5 linked regions of the Callithrix jacchus genome follow. The protein of the gene in region 4 interacts with the protein of the main gene of each other region in a pairwise test. Links are inferred from orthologs where the notes say so. Each region holds a gene or a part of one and is shown on either strand. Other genes may lie near its edges. The genes, in order: GRN, CCNJL, GDPD5, KRTAP26-1 and MGAT5B.

The links.
Region 1: the proteins of KRTAP26-1 (region 4) and GRN interact in binary tests that used the Homo sapiens proteins (3 or more experiments, as listed by UniProt). The two-hybrid records come from large-scale screens. The link is inferred for Callithrix jacchus from reciprocal best matches to the Homo sapiens genes KRTAP26-1 and GRN.
Region 2: the proteins of KRTAP26-1 (region 4) and CCNJL interact in binary tests that used the Homo sapiens proteins (3 or more experiments, as listed by UniProt). The two-hybrid records come from large-scale screens. The link is inferred for Callithrix jacchus from reciprocal best matches to the Homo sapiens genes KRTAP26-1 and CCNJL.
Region 3: the proteins of KRTAP26-1 (region 4) and GDPD5 interact in a two-hybrid assay, tested with the Homo sapiens proteins (2 studies listed by BioGRID and IntAct). The two-hybrid records come from large-scale screens. The link is inferred for Callithrix jacchus from reciprocal best matches to the Homo sapiens genes KRTAP26-1 and GDPD5.
Region 5: the proteins of KRTAP26-1 (region 4) and MGAT5B interact in a two-hybrid assay, tested with the Homo sapiens proteins (3 studies listed by BioGRID and IntAct). The two-hybrid records come from large-scale screens. The link is inferred for Callithrix jacchus from reciprocal best matches to the Homo sapiens genes KRTAP26-1 and MGAT5B.

The regions. Positions count from the first base shown.
Region 1 is NC_133506.1:71,192,542-71,194,744, forward strand, and holds the end of GRN (progranulin), read left to right. Parts: coding exon 1-60; intron 61-146; coding exon 147-392; intron 393-607; coding exon 608-841; intron 842-932; coding exon 933-1,163; intron 1,164-1,252; coding exon 1,253-1,390; 3' UTR 1,391-1,700; downstream 1,701-2,203. UniProt on the Homo sapiens protein: Secreted protein that acts as a key regulator of lysosomal function and as a growth factor involved in inflammation, wound healing and cell proliferation. Regulates protein trafficking to lysosomes, and also the activity of lysosomal enzymes.
Region 2 is NC_133503.1:23,071,835-23,075,356, reverse strand, and holds part of CCNJL (cyclin-J-like protein), read left to right. Parts: intron 1-551; coding exon 552-854; intron 855-3,259; coding exon 3,260-3,419; intron 3,420-3,522.
Region 3 is NC_133511.1:65,510,716-65,514,237, forward strand, and holds part of GDPD5 (glycerophosphodiester phosphodiesterase domain-containing protein 5), read left to right. Parts: exon of another isoform or gene 1-1,106; coding exon 1,107-1,189; exon of another isoform or gene 1,190-2,326; coding exon 2,327-2,477; exon of another isoform or gene 2,478-2,623; intron 2,624-2,957; coding exon 2,958-3,176; intron 3,177-3,522. UniProt on the Homo sapiens protein: Glycerophosphodiester phosphodiesterase that promotes neurite formation and drives spinal motor neuron differentiation.
Region 4 is NC_133522.1:36,367,961-36,370,576, reverse strand, and holds KRTAP26-1 (keratin-associated protein 26-1), read left to right. Parts: upstream 1-1,179; 5' UTR 1,180-1,239; coding exon 1,240-1,872; 3' UTR 1,873-2,110; downstream 2,111-2,616. UniProt on the Homo sapiens protein: In the hair cortex, hair keratin intermediate filaments are embedded in an interfilamentous matrix, consisting of hair keratin-associated proteins (KRTAP), which are essential for the formation of a rigid and resistant hair shaft through their extensive disulfide bond cross-linking with abundant cysteine residues of hair keratins.
Region 5 is NC_133506.1:132,799,334-132,802,623, reverse strand, and holds the end of MGAT5B (alpha-1,6-mannosylglycoprotein 6-beta-N-acetylglucosaminyltransferase B), read right to left. Parts: intron 2,934-3,290; coding exon 2,677-2,933; intron 2,214-2,676; coding exon 2,015-2,213; 3' UTR 501-2,014; downstream 1-500. UniProt on the Homo sapiens protein: Glycosyltransferase that acts on alpha-linked mannose of N-glycans and O-mannosyl glycans.

The sequences.
Region 1 (2,203 bases), on a different chromosome or scaffold from region 4:
GATGGTTACACCTGCTGCCGCCTACAGTCGGGGGCCTGGGGCTGCTGCCCTTTTACACAGGTACTCAGGGGTGGTGGGTGGGTGGACTGAGCACTGTGGCAGCCAGCTGGACCCCAGTGCCCACTGGCCCTTCCTGTCTGCCATAGGCTGTGTGCTGTGAGGACCACATACACTGCTGCCCCTCAGGGTTTACGTGTGACACACAGAAGGGTACCTGTGAACAGGGGACCCACCAGGTACCCTGGATGGAGAAGGCCCCAGCTCACCTCAGCCTGCTGGACCCGCAAGCCTTGAAGAGAGACGTCCCCTGTGATAACGTCACAAGCTGTCCCCCCTCCAATACCTGCTGCCAACTCATGTCTGGGGAGTGGGGCTGCTGTTCAGCCCCAGAGGTACATGGGAGAGGACAGCACCTTGGCCTGGGAAGGTGGTGGCCAGACTCCTCTTGCTTTCTGCCCTCTGCTTCACCCATAGGTGGCACTCAGCTCTGTCAGATTCATCCCCAGCTGGAGATGCTATAAGCAGCAAAGGCGGGCTGGAGAGGTAGGGGCTCGACGCTGTGCCCCACATGTGGCTACCTAGAATGGCCTTTTCTGCCCACCCCCAGGCTGTCTGCTGCTCGGACCACCAGCACTGCTGCCCCCAGGGCTACACGTGTGTCGTTGAGGGGCAGTGTCATCGGGGACCCAAGATCGTGGCTGGGCTGGAGAAGATGCCTGCCCGCCGGGCTTCCGGATCCCACCCCAGAGACATCGGCTGCGACCAGCACACCAGCTGTCCAGTTGGACAGACCTGCTGCCCGAGCCTGGGCGGGGGCTGGGCCTGCTGCCAGCTGCCCCATGTGAGTGCCTCCCTGCCTTCCCCTGGATAAGGGAGCTAAGCCCGGCGAGGGGACAGGAACATAATGCCATTCTGCACCCTCTCCCCACCAGGCTGTGTGCTGTGAGGATCGCCAGCACTGCTGCCCAGCTGGCTATACCTGCAACGTGAAGGCCCGATCCTGCGAGAAGGAAGTGGTCTCTGCCCAGCCTGCCACCTTCCTGGCCCGTGGCCCTCATGTGGGCATGAGGGACGTGGAATGTGGGGCAGGGCACTTCTGCCATGATGACCAGACCTGCTGCCGAGACAGCCAAGGGGGCTGGGCCTGCTGTCCCTACCGCCAGGTCAGTGACACCCCCCACCCTGGGGCTCGGTATGGCCAGGGACCCAGTCCCGCCATGTCCAACCCTCTTGTTCCACTCTGACCATCCAGGGTGTCTGTTGTGCCGATCAGCGCCACTGCTGTCCTGCCGGCTTCCATTGCTCAGCCAAGGGCACCAAGTGTTTGCGCAGGGAAACCCTGCACTGGGACACCCCTTTGAGGGACCCAGCCTTGAGACAGCTGCTGTGAGGGACAGGACTGAAGACTCTGCAGCCCTCAGGACCCCACTTGGAGGGTGCCCTCTGCTCAGGCCTCCCTAGCACCTCTCCCCAACCAAATTCTCCCTGGCCCCCATTCTAAGCTCCCCATCACCATGGAAGGTGGGGCCTCAATCTAAGGCCTTGCCTGTCAGAAGGGGGTTGTGGCAAAAGCCACATTACAAGCTGCCATCTCCTCCCCGTTTCTGTAGACCCTGTGGCCAGGTGCTTTTCCCTATTCACAGGGGTGTGTGTGTGCGTGTGCGCGTGCGCGTTCCAATAAAGTTTGTACACTTTCTTAACAGCGTCTGATTTGCCGCCTTGCCTGCATTCCCCAGGGCCCCAGAGCCAGAGTTCGCTCCACTGCCAGCACTCCCCTCCCCTTCCCCACAGAAAGACACACACGGCCTTAACCTCACCAGTTTATATTTGCTGCTGCCCACAGCCGCCGTCATCACATTACCCCCTAGTCCCCAGAGCTGCCCCAGCCACCAGCCCTGTGACATCGTAGCCCAGAGGTGGGCTAGTCAGCAAGCAGCACTCCCAACCCCTCCCAGGGGGCCATAGAGAACGCCCCCGCCCTTCCCAGCCCTCACACTAGCAGCTGAGGCTGGGTCACCCCTCCTGCTTTCCCACAATAGAGCTTTCTATATACAGCCACACTACACAGGCACTGCTTCCCCCCAGCCCTCCTCCCCGGCACCTCCCCATGAGGGCTGGACCCCCCTCCTCCCCGGCTTGGAGGCAGACACAGGGTCCCTTGTAAGACACAACCCGGCACCTACCACGGAACGGCTCCGAGGCC
Region 2 (3,522 bases), on a different chromosome or scaffold from region 4:
AACTAAGACCCCATTTACACAGTTTGAACTCAATACCAAGGATAGTGGGAAGCCATAGAAGGGCTTTTTCTATATGTGGAGGGACAGAGCCAGGTTTGTGCAGTCATGCTGACTCTAGGCAGGAGGTTGGATTAGTGAGGGCCGGTTGGGGAGTAGGGAGGGGACTATATTCCCCAGCCCCTGGATGCTGCTCCTGACCACTGTCTCCTGCCTCCTCTGTTCCAGTGGTTGGTTTGAGCATTTGGTGTGCATTTTCCCATTGAATCTAACAAAAGCCTAATGAAGTATAGGTTCCATCTTACAGATAAGGAAGCTGAGTCACAGAGAGGTTGAGACACCTAGTCATGATCCCACAGCGGGAAGTGATGGCTTAGAGATTCAAGCCTAGGTTTGACAAATCTGGAATGTGTGCTCTTATCCCTTTGCAGTCCGGCCTGTCTGCTTTCTGTTTTCTCTGCCAGCACTGTCCAGGCACTGTAAGGTGGGCTGTTAGCTTCCTGAATGCAGGTAAATGTCTTCCAGTAACCTCTGCTTCCCCTGCTTCCCCACAGGTAAGTTCGAGGATCGGGAAGACCACGTCCCCAAGTTGGAGCAGATAAACAGCACGAGGATCCTGAGCAGCCAGAACTTCGCCCTCACCAAGAAGGAGCTGCTGAGCACAGAGCTGCTGCTCCTGGAGGCCTTCAGCTGGAACCTCTGCCTGCCCACACCTGCCCACTTCCTGGACTACTACCTCTTGGCCTCTGTCAGCCAGAAGGACCACCACTGCCACACCTGGCCCACCACCTGCCCTCGCAAGACCAAAGAGTGCCTCAAGGAGTATGCCCATTACTTCCTAGAGGTCACCCTGCAAGGTGATGGCTGGGGCCCAAGAGCAGGACCTCCTACCCCCTCCCCACCCACCCAGGGGTCAGGGTTAGGTGGCTCTCAAGGGCATGTCCATCCAGATAAGGCCTTCTCACTGGGGCCTGTGCACCACCCATATCAGTCTTACTTTGCAGGGAATAAGCAAAGAAAGGGCAAAAATTTGCCCAGTGTGTTACCAGTAACATATAAAAGAGAAATACCTGCTTATATACAGGCAGCCGGAAACCTAGAAACTTACAGATCACCTTTTTCTTACAGTAACCTAGAACATTGCAAATGATTTAAATAGCACAGATTTGCAGGTCGGTTATTCTCAAACAGCTGCCGTCATACAGATAGTATGGGGAGAGGGAATTAGGTTTCCATCTGCTTTAGCAATAAAAGTTACCCTGTTTGGAGAGTCTTACTTGAAACTCACTCTTCCCAGTGTTTTAAAATCTAGATGTTAACTGGGTCAAAAATACTGCTGATAGGGCCAGATGTGTGGCTCACTCCTGTAATCCCAACACTTTGGGAGGCAAAGGTGGGAGGGTCATGAGGTCAGAAGATTGAGACCATCTTGGCCGACATGGTGAAACCCTGTCTCTACTAAAATACAAAAAATTAGCTGGGCATGATGGTGCGTACGTGTAGTCCCAATTACTCAGCAGGCTGAGGCAGGGGAATCGCTTGAACCCGGGATGCCGAGATTGCAGTGAACCAAGATTGTACCACTGCACTCCAGCCTGCAGTCAGAGCGACACTTTGTTTCGGGAAAAAAAAAAAATACTACTCATAACAACCATCCCATAACCTACCACAGACTAAAATGTTTGGGCATGAGTATCAAGATCGATGATTGGGCTGACCAATCAGTGACTGGTCGGACTCCCCAGCTTCAAATCCTACCAATGAGTAGGGCATGGAAGCTCTCGCCTTAATCCCAGGAGTTTGAGACTAGCCTGAGCAATGCGGTGAGAGCCCGTCTCAAAAAACATTTTTTTTTAATCCTGGCAATGACTTTGGGTAAGTTACAGCATCAGTTTCCTCTTTTGTAAAATATGATTAATGGAGGTGGTGTTGGTATAGGGTTGCTGTGAGGTTCAAATGAGATAATGTATGCAAATCACTGAAGCAAGATACCTGGCATGCAGTAATGCCCAGTTAATGCTTGGGATCATGGTTCCTTTTTTTTTTTTTTTTTAAGATGGCGTCTCACCCTGTCACCCAAGCTGGAGTGCAATAGCGCGATCTTGGCTCACTGCAACCTCTGCCTCCCGGGTTCAAGTGATTCTTCTGCCTCAGCCTCCCAAGTAGCTAAGATTACAGGCACGTGCCACCATGCCTGGCCAATTTTCTGTATCTTTAGTAGAGATGGGGTTTCACCATGTTGGCCAGGCTGGCCTCAAATTCCTGACCTCGTGTTCTGCCCGCCTTGACCTCCCAAAGTGCTCACAGGCGTGAGCCACCACGCCCAGTGAAAATCATGAACAATTTAAGACAACATAGTAATAAACTGAAAACCCAGTGGCATTCAGGAAAACTACAGAAATTTCAACTGTTTGCCTTTGCACATCAATAGTACCAGCTTTGCCATGTGGCCAGATATCTTAGTTGGACATTAAGATTCCTCAGTCAACCTAAGTGCCGGTTTTAGTTATAAATATCAAACTCTTACAGCCATTCATTCAGTACATTTTCACTGAGTACTGTGGGCCAGACATTGTTACAACTAATAAATAGCTTCCTCTAGTCATACCCCGAAACGGAAGCCTTTGAAATTGTATGTCATACACTCACATAACCAAAGAAAGGCCAAATGTTTTGCAGTTCTGTTTGTAGAACATTGGCGAGCTCCTTGCTGCCCCCTGGGAGCCATGGACAATATTTTGAAAACACTGTTCTAGGCTGCTATCAGAAATACCAGACTGGTCTGAGCATAGTGACTCACACCTATAATCCCAGCACTTTGGGAGGCTGAGGCGGGAGGATTGCTTGAGCTCAGGAGTTCAAGACCAGCCTGGGCTACATGCTAAAACTCTATCTTTCAAAAAAGTACAAAAATTGGCCAGGTTTCGTCGTGCACACTTGTAGTCCCGGCTACTCGAGAGGCCGAAGTAGTAGGATCTCTTGGTCCCGAAAAGTTGAGACTGCGATGAGCCACGATTGACCCAGTGCACTCCAGCCTGGGCGACAGAGTGAGAGAACCTGTCTCAACAAAAGAGAAATCCCAGATTGAGAGCCAAGGTTAAGATTCAAAAATGGAACTTCACAGTTTCTAATTTTCCATCCTATTTGTAGGGCAGTGATTAACAGGCTTGCAAATGATTCATTTGTCCATCCATTCTCAGGGTGGGCCTGGGATTGCAAGGGGAGGCTTTGGATGCTGACTCCCTCCATGGCTTTCTTTCAGATCACATATTCTACAAATTCCAGCCTTCTGTGGTCGCTGCAGCCTGTGTTGGGGCCTCCAGGATTTGCCTGCAGCTTTCTCCCTATTGGACCAGAGACCTGCAGAGGATCTCAAGCTACTCCCTGGAACACCTCAGCACGTGTATTGAAATTCTGCTGGTGTAAGTTTCTCCCCTGAATCCCGTGTTTCTGAAATAGTGATTTTGAAAACACTATTCTAGGCTGAAATAGTGAAGTTCCTCTTGCCTTGAGGCCTGCCTCAGG
Region 3 (3,522 bases), on a different chromosome or scaffold from region 4:
GGTGGGAAGATAGCTGGAGCCCAGAAGTTTGAGACTGTTGTGAGCTGTGATTGTGTCACTGCACTCCAGCCTGGGTGACAGCAAGACCCTGTCTCTCAAAAAAATGCTAGAACCTGTACCTAAAAAGTGCAATTTTATTTAAAAAAAACAAACAGAAGAAATAAAGAAATAAAACAAAAAAATGCTAGAACCAGGATGATGTAAGGGCAAAACAGTTACCATTTATCAAGCACTTACTATATCTATCAGGCAGGGTGCTAGAGGCTTTTCATTCACTTAGCAGTCCAGTGAAGGAAATGGTACTGTCATATTTGTACAGATGAGGAAACTGGGTCCCCACTGAAACTCTACCATCCCATCCACCCGCTCTTCTTCCATTTCTCCCCCTGGACTTGGCTCAGGGTATAGCCAAGAGGGAATTTTACTTTCAGCCCCAGCCCAAGACTGCCAGATTGCCACAGAGGACTGTAAAAAAGCCCTCCAGCCCCAGTGTCTAGCTCAGTGGCTGGGATACAGCAGTGAAAACGCAGTGACCATAGCTACCAGGTATCAAGTGCTAGCTACATGTCAGGCATTTAAATGCATCAACACTCACCAGCCCTGCCTCCGCTCCCCTGCAGTGAAACCAGTGAGGTAGGCATGATTTAACAGATGAGGAAGCTGAACTTCAGAGAAGTGTAGTGGATGCCCAGGGTCACACAGCTACACCATGGAGGAACAAGAATTAGAAAATCCCAGCATTTGGGAGGCCGAGGCGGGTGGATCACGAGGTCAACAGAGACCATCCTGGTCAAGATGGTGAAACCCTGTCTCTACTAAAAAAATACAAAAAATTAGCTGGGCACGGTGGCGCAAGCCTGTAATCCCAGCTACTCAGGAGGCTGAGGCAGGAGAATTGCCTGAACCCAGGAGGCAGAGGTTGCATTGAGCCGAGGTCACGCTATTGCACTCCAGCCTGGGTAATGAGCAAAACTCCGTCTCAAAAAAAAAAAAAAAGAATTAGAACCATGCCTGACCCAGCCTCCCAACATGGAAGACTTTCCATTGGCTGGGGAGGGTACATCAGCTGACTCTTGGCTCTCCCTTCACCACCCCTTCCTCCCCAGCTGGCTCCAGAGCACACTCTCATGTCCTTCCGGAAGGCCCTTGAGCAGAAGCTGTATGGGCTCCAGGCTGACATTACCATCAGGTAGGTGTAGCGGAGGAAAAATAGCTCCTCTAACCCCTCCCACACACATCTGCATCTACCTGGGTCTCTGCTAGGGAAACCTCTGGTCTCAGAGCCTCTGAGATGGGAGGATAGAGGCTTAGATTATCCACAGCAGGGCAGTCACCCTGCTGGTGTAAAATAGAATAAAGAACAAATGCTCTTGGTGCAAGCAGGGGTGGGGGTGAGGACCTGGAGCCCTGCCACAGAGCAGCTTGAAGGGAAAACTAGATCTCTATGGCTCTGCATGACAGAACTCTAACACTCTCATGAGTGAAATAAAGCAAGTTTCAGAGTGATACATTCACTGTAATTCCAGTTACATTTTAAAAGACCACAAAAAAGTGACGTATATACTTTCTCCATGCACGTATATAAGTAGATATTAGTATAAATGGCAGAAAGAATCCATACCAATCTCATAACAGAAGTTATCTGAAAAGGGAAGAAGGGCAGGACTGCCATATATAGTTGCACAGGTTATGTACTGAACAAGGACATCACATATATGAGGACATTGTTCCTAGTATAGATATAGAATTGTGTATTTATTGTAACTTTCTAGCAGACGGTGGTAAAATGCCTTGAGGAACAGAGGGCATGGGTGCCTTCTACTGTTTCACACTAAGGCACCCTATGAGCTATTGGCGGCCCTGGTAGAGCAGACAAGGACTGGGGTTGGGTGAAGTTTGCTAAAGAGGTCTACATTTGCACTGCTCTCATCATAGCATCACAGGGATTTGGTCTCAAAGCCGGTTCCACCACGTACAGGCTGTGGACCTTGAGCTAGATACTTCCCTCTCTTACCCTCAGTTTCTTCATTATCAAATGAGGCAGCACCTACCTTCCAAGGTTGCTAAGAAAGTAGGTCCAGCTTTTTCTCAGCCCGCCCTTCTTGGCAGTCCCCACCCTCATCTGACCCTCAAAGAGAGCCAGAAGGCCTTCAGGTTCATCCACCAGCCCACTGTCTTTCCTGTGCAGATGGGGAGACTGAGGCCCAGAGAGGGGCAGAGCCAGCCAGATCCTGTGCTGGGTGGGGAGGACTGTGGAGGTGACAGTCATTGGTGGGCAGGTGAGGGATGGGGGGGTCAGTGACTCAGCGGCCCACCCTCCCTGTAGCCTGGACGGCGTGCCCTTCCTCATGCACGATGCCACCCTGCGGCGCACCACCAACGTGGAGGAGGAGTTCCCGGAGCTCGCCCGCAGGCCTGCCTCCATGCTCAACTGGACCACCCTGCAGAGGCTCAACGCTGGCCAGTGGTTCCTGAAGGTCTGGCTGCACCTGATCCCAGGCTTAGGCTTGGAAAATACCAGCAAGGACTCCAGGGAGTGAGAGGCATTGGTGGCCTCCTGGGCTCCTGCCACTGCTGCCATATCTCGTGGTTGTCACTGCATGTTCTGGGTCTGTTTCCCTCACTAGAAAAAGTTGACATGAATGAGAGCAGTGAATAGCATTAACTCTGTAAAACTCTGGAGAGGGGTTGGCTGCCTGGTGTGAAATGCTCCAGAAGGAGAAATGCTGTGGGGTGTGGCAGCTATTCCAAGCAAGCCATCCTCTTGGTAAGCAGGGTGTGGGGTAGGAAGGTTAGGGCTGGGGCCTCCTGCAGCCTCCACATGGCCACAGCCATCAATCTGCCTGACCCCAGCCAACTGGTAGCCCAGAGGTCTCCATGCTTGGTTGCCAGAAGGGCATGTGGGGGTCCCCAAAGGGCTCGTGATGCAGCCATGTGTGTGTCCCTGTCCCTGCCAGACTGACCCCTTCTGGACGGCCAGCTCTCTGTCACCCTCCGACTACAGAGAGGCCCAGAACCAGTCCATCTGCAGCCTGGCAGAGCTCCTGGAGCTGGCCAAAGGCAACGCCACACTGCTGCTCAACCTGCGCGACCCGCCCCGTGAGCACCCCTACCGCAGCAGCTTCCTCAACATCACTCTGGAGGCCGTGCTGCGCTCTGGCTTCCCCCAGCACCAGGTGAGGCCTTCCAGCACTGCTCTGCCCTGGGAGCCCTGGCCTGGCTGGAGCCCTGCTGCTGCCTAACCTCTCCCTGCTGCCCTCCGGACTTCAGCTTTCACATCTGTAAAGTGGGGATCACGCACCCCTCGCCTCCCTGCCAGGGTCATCGTGGGACAAGAGGGGAACAAGAAAACACTTTAAAATTTATAAAGGTCCAAGCTGTCAAGTTACTTCAGTGAAGGGTTGTCCTATCATGTGGTGTAATAATTTGGGGCCACAGAAATCTGAAGCCAGTTTAGGACGGCACCCTAGGTGCTAGCAGCCATGTGCAGAGTAGTGGCTACTGGGCTTCCCTCCTGTACTG
Region 4 (2,616 bases):
ACCAAAATAGAAGAAAGTGTTATGATTTAAATTGACTATTTAGCCAAAAGGAATTGGAACTTAGAGCCAGCAGGTAATTTAAAATCCCATTAAAATAGCTACTGGAGCCACTGGGTATGTCAGTATGTGAATAATGTAGAGGGACAGTTGAAACTAACTGTAATCATACATTTTTAAAACAAATTTAACCAGAAATACATATTCTCAAATGGCCTTTAAGTATTCAAACTTAGGAAAAGTATACTTCATCCTGGTGCTATTCCCTATGTAAAGCAGTTTAGAAGTTCCTTTTTGGAAATTGACATCAAGACCAATATAGGAAGCAAAAGAAATTCATGTCATAATCAATGTATTTTTTTAACCAAGAACAATATTTTTTCAGTTGGAATATGAGTTACCATACAATACCTAGGCTTGTAAAAATCATGAAAAATATCAAGTTGTCCGACTTTCTTTAAAGGGTCTGTTTGCTTTTGTTCACAGTAGGATACATCATTTTAACTAAGTCCAACTTCGTTATCTGTATTCATGCATACCTTAAACATAAGCCAAGTTTTCAGCTGGACTCATCTATTTATTAATTGAAGTGAGTAAGATGAGCACGCATTTTAAAATAAAGATATTTTCGTAGAAAGTCAAGTCGGAGTAGAGTTCTGAAATAAAGCAAATCACACTTTGAAAAATAAATTATAATTGAGCAACACATATTGAAATTGTCCATATTTCTGCCATATAGTTCACAAGGATTTTCAGTTTCCCTTACATTTGCTTCGAAGTTACTTTCAGCAACTTCCAAGAAGAATAGAATTTCCCTTCAGAAAGATATAAGTTGTCACTGTTTCAAAGAAGTTGCTACAACTTTCGAAGAGAGGAATCTTAAGAATGTTTGTGCCATGGTGGTTCTAATTAGAGTAAGTACATAGCTTTTAAAACATGTCTGTTGTGTTTGGATAATTTAAGAAGGATAGATACTAGTAAAATGCAGTCGCGCTGGTTTATAGATATACTTAATCAATGGATGGCATTGCAAGGAGCGTTCCGGTTTTATGGGAGGTGGGAGCGTCACTTCCTTGGCTATAATAAAGAGTTCCGATGTAGCCTCGTACAACAAGAGGAAGAGTCTGTATGCAGAAGCACCATCTTCTGGGGATATATAAAGGGTCAAGTCAACGAAGGGCAGAACAAGCTCGAGACACTTGCTTCTCTCCGTCAACCGCAGCCTCTTCTCACAACCTCACTATGTCTTGCCAAAACTACTGCTCTGGAAACTCCAGCTCAGGATCTCTCAGAACCTCCTGCCATATTCCTCTTACCTCCATCGCCCTCTGCCCTACCAATGTGAGTTGTGGAGATGTCCTCTGCTTACCCACTAGCTGTCAAGACCATACCTGGCTCACAGACAACTGCCAAGAGACCTGCGGTGAACCAGCCAGCTGCCAGCCAGCCCACTGTGAGACCGGCAACCTTGAAACCTCTCGCTGTTCTTCCACTGCTTACTACGTGCCCAGATCCTGCCAAGGAACCAGTTTTCTTCCTGCTTCTTTCATCTCCAGCTCCTGCCTTCCAGTATCCTATAGACCGCAGAGCTACGTGTCCAGCAGCTGTCGTCCACTGAGGCCACTGATCAATAGTTACCAGCCCACAGGAAGCTGTGTGCCTGGTGGCTATCGTCCCCAGTCCTCTTTTGCCAATAGCTGCCAGCCCCCAAACCTCCTCACTTCTGGATGCCGACCCTCCGGTTGCTTGGCCTATGGTCCTCAAACCCTTCATGTTGTGTCCAGCAGCCTCAGACCTCTGGGGCCTCTGTTCAGTGGTTGCCAACCTCTGAGCCATGTGGTCAGCACTTGTCATCCATCTTGCTCTGCACTGTGAAACCAGTAGCTTCTTTGTTCTAGAAAAATCTGGGGACTTTTGCTTCTTCGCTAGTAGTAACTGATGTTTCTTACTTTTACTGTCTGTGATCTAATGCAACCTGCTTCTCTTACATGTTTTATCTTGTTTTCATCTTTCCTTGACATCAAAAGAATTGGCTTACAATGCTATTCAGCGTTGCTGTGGTGTGGGAAGAATGTATTTGATTTACGCTATAATAAATGCGATTAAGTCCGAATTAGGAATCTTGTTCAGTGGTTTTTCTTTCATGACTTAATTTTAACACAGAAATGACCAATGTCAATTGTTTGCAAGATGAGTGAATTGGACAAATGATTCTCAACCATATATTTGTACCTGACAGTGGAAGGATTGCTTGATGGTTTATTCCTTAAGCTGCTTTTAGACTTCTGACCCTATGTACTTGAGAGACCCAAAAAGTCCTTGGTGAAAGTTGCTTTGAAGAGGAAAAATTAGGAATGATGCCTCTTATTTCTCTATTCCACTGAATATGCTTTCACCAGAATGTTCTTTCTAATTGAAAACCTGACCAGGTTTCTGCTTAAGCCTTTGCTGGCTTCCTATAATCTATCTCCATAAGATAAATATTCAAACACCTTAGTAGCAAAGCTGGTTTCCCTCACTGTCTTTCTCCCTCCTCCCTCTCTGGCTTCATCCTATTTTGATCAGTACTGCAAATAATAAAACTAAGATCCTGCAAGCCTGACTTACACAAAGGTCCCC
Region 5 (3,290 bases), on a different chromosome or scaffold from region 4:
TGTGCCTCTCGATGTAAAATGGAAAGATTCATATAATAGTACTTACCTGCTAGGGCAGCTGAGTGCATGAAATGACTACTGAAGCAAGCGACAAACTCAGCCCAGTGCCCGAGGTGGTAAACACTGGCTCATTTTCTCATTATCTGGCTCAGGCTCTTATCAAAATGGATTTGTGTTCCCTGACCCCACACTGCCACTGTCACAGCCAGCTGGAGGCGGGCAGAGACCAGCCCAACGTGGACATGACTGAGTATGCCACTGCTTGTCAGGGTGCCTGCAGTCACAGCTTGGGAACAGCCAGGAGATGACCCTGGGTCTCTGCCACCAGCAGGGACTTCTTTTGGGTGGCTTGAAGTAGACAGCACCCAGCTCTGCAGACCTGAGCACCCCGTGTGCCCCACATGACATGGAGCAGAACCTGGAGACATCAGCTATCTGCCCCTCCACCCTGGGTGAGCTCTGGATGCCGCAGGAAAAGAGAACCAGCATAGTTCCTCTTCTGCATCTCACATCCCAATAAAATATTTATTATTTCAAGAAATAAATCTTTAAAAAAAGAGAAAAAAAGAGTGTCTCTATTGCTTTCCCCCACAGGTCAGTCCTTGGGAACCAATGAGTTTCTTGCCATCGTGGTTTCTGCGGCTGCAGGGGCCAGCCAGGTCTGGAGGGGACTCCTGTGGGAAGTGTCCAGCCTGGCCCCTCCACCAACTCTCAGCGTCCTGGGGCTGCCTCCTGGGAAGGGTGGAGGAGCAGGCCTAGGTTGGTGGGTGGGGTTGCTGGGAGAGGGAGCAGGATTATAAAACTGGGTGGTGGCAGTGTTCTGAAGGCCTGACCCGCTGAGGCAGTCGGGGCTCTGGGCGGGGGGAGAGGGGAAGGGGGCGTCCTGTGGCAGGCATGCCACTCAGGGAAGGACGGCTGGATCTCAAGGCGGTTTGAGGCTGGAGGTAGGGACAAGGACTTGACATGGGTGGGGTTGAGGGCTGCCTGGGTAAGTGGACAGGGCAACTGGAAACTAGGCATGGAGTGCCATGGGGCTGAGGCTCCATCCCAAGCCCCTGTCTGCAAAAGATGCTGGGGGGTAAGGAGTCAGTATCTGTGGGAGTGCCTGGTGCACAAAGGCCACCCCCGGGCAGGGGTCCCAGAGCCTGTTCTCTGAGCCTGGGGTGGAAACCTCCCCTTGGAGGGGGCAGGGCTTGAGGCTTTGGAACAAATCCACCATCTGGAGTGGCAGGTCATGCCAGGATGGGTTTTGGGAGAAGCCCGGAGTGAAAAGGGTTGGAACAAGCAGGAGAAAGAAACAACTCAACCAGGGCCTAGGTGGTCCCTGCAGCCCAAACTGTGGTCCCCAAGTGTAGCGGGAAGGTGGTGGGATCGGGAAACCGAGAGGAAAGGGGCTAAGGGGAGGCACGAACAGGGCCCCTTGGCTTAGCCTTCCACCCACCCTCTGCCCCTGCATCCACAACCCAAATGCCAGCGGGCCCTGTGTTCCTGGCTCCCCTCACAGGAGGAGGGTAAGCCCCCAATTCCCCTGCCGGGAGCAGGTACCATCCAGGCCCATGGGGAGGGGCCCTCCTTGAACCCTTCAGGGACCATGGGGCAGCCTGGTCCCTGCTACCCTCTCTTGCAGGTCTAGAAGCCCCATCCTGGGCCCAAGAATGACTGGCCCCCTTCATCTGGCCCAGATCCAGCCTTGCACAAAGCAAGGGGCCTTGACCACCTGCTCCTGGGCCCTGCAGACTCTCCGAGCAGCCCGACATCTGCTTGGCCTTGATGCTGCCATGAATTCCCAGGAGAGAACCAGGAGCCTGCCTGGGAGGTCCCAGGGGCTCGGTGTGCCGCCGCCTCCTATTCCTCTGCACGGCTCTCCTCTGGACACTTCCAGGCGAAGGAAGTAAGCTCCAGCCTGGGGGAGCTGCGAGGAGGACAAGCAGCCGGAGCCCAGGACCTGCTGGTACTCTCTCCTGTGTCAGGGGAGAGCCAGCCGTGGGTGCCAGGCAGGGCGGCAGAGGTGGCCTCACAGACAGCCCTGGCACAAGGCCACCTGGCCTTTGCGGAAGTCACGGCAGGGGCAGAGCCGGCGGTACTTGGTGTTGGAGCCGGCACAGCTGAAGAGCAGGGGCTCCTTCTGCAGATAGCACTCCTGGCCAGGCTGGGCGAAGGCCGGGTACAGGTGGTTCATCTCCGACTCGGTGCTGTCACAGGGCACCTGCAATCTGGCATGCATAGCACCATCACTCAGCATTGGTTGCTTGGGCTGAAGGGCTGGGCCAGGGTAGGGGTTCCCCACAGCCCAGCACTGCCTGCTCCCCTTCTCTGGCCCATCCCCATCCCAGAATGGATAAGGAAATGTGTTACAGCTCCCTACTGTTACACCCAGGACAGCTTTCATGGTTTGGGCTAGACAACGCCCAAACAGGCTGGGTAGGGGGCTGAGTGGGTGAAGGAGAGCAGGGACTGAAAGGAGCCTCTCCTCTAGTTTAAGGCTTGGCCAAGAGTGGGGCAGCAGTGACCTGGATGTTGGCCTGGAGGGTCCCTTCTGGGTCCTTCCTGACTCGTTGGAAAGCATTAAATCCCCCACCGCTGAAAGGGCTGAGGGCCAGTTCTGGGTATGAGAGCTCATGGTGAGCCTGCTGGGCCAGCAAGGATGGGGGCTGGGGGGTGGGGGCCCATACTCACTTGAGGAAGGCGTCCTGGCTGTTGAGGAAGGGGAAGAAGGAGGGCTCGCAGATCAGCCCGTGGTCCAGGCAGGTGTCGGTGCACGCCCTCCCAGGCACAGCCAGCCAGGCCCGCAGGGAGTTCACGGGGGGCCAGGCCCCCAGGGTCAAGCTGGCATTCTGAGCCCATTCGAGGTGGGTGGCATTTGGGGCCAGGACAAAAGGGCTCTGCGGGGCATGGGCCCCTGGTTGGGCAGGGCCTGGAGATGTGCAGAAGTCCTGCAAGGAGGGGGGAGCAGCGTTAGGTAGGGAAATGCCAGCCAGGTACACCCGGGGGACACCTGAAGGTGTGGCCCTGCCAGTACAAGCCACAGTACCAGCCACCACTAATGGGCACTTACTGAATACCAGGTAGCTTTACCTGCATTATTTTATTGACTTCCAATGGACACTTGTGTCTCCAGGTCACTTACAGGGAGAATGGAAGCTGAGAGGTCACGGCGCCTGCCCAAGGCTTTGGGGTTGGACAACAGAACAGGACTTGGATTCAGGGCTCTCTGCATCCTGTCTGCCCTGGAGCTGTCCTGATGCTCAAGTCAAGCTCTGGTTTCTACCCTGGGGCCTGCGAGCCCTGCC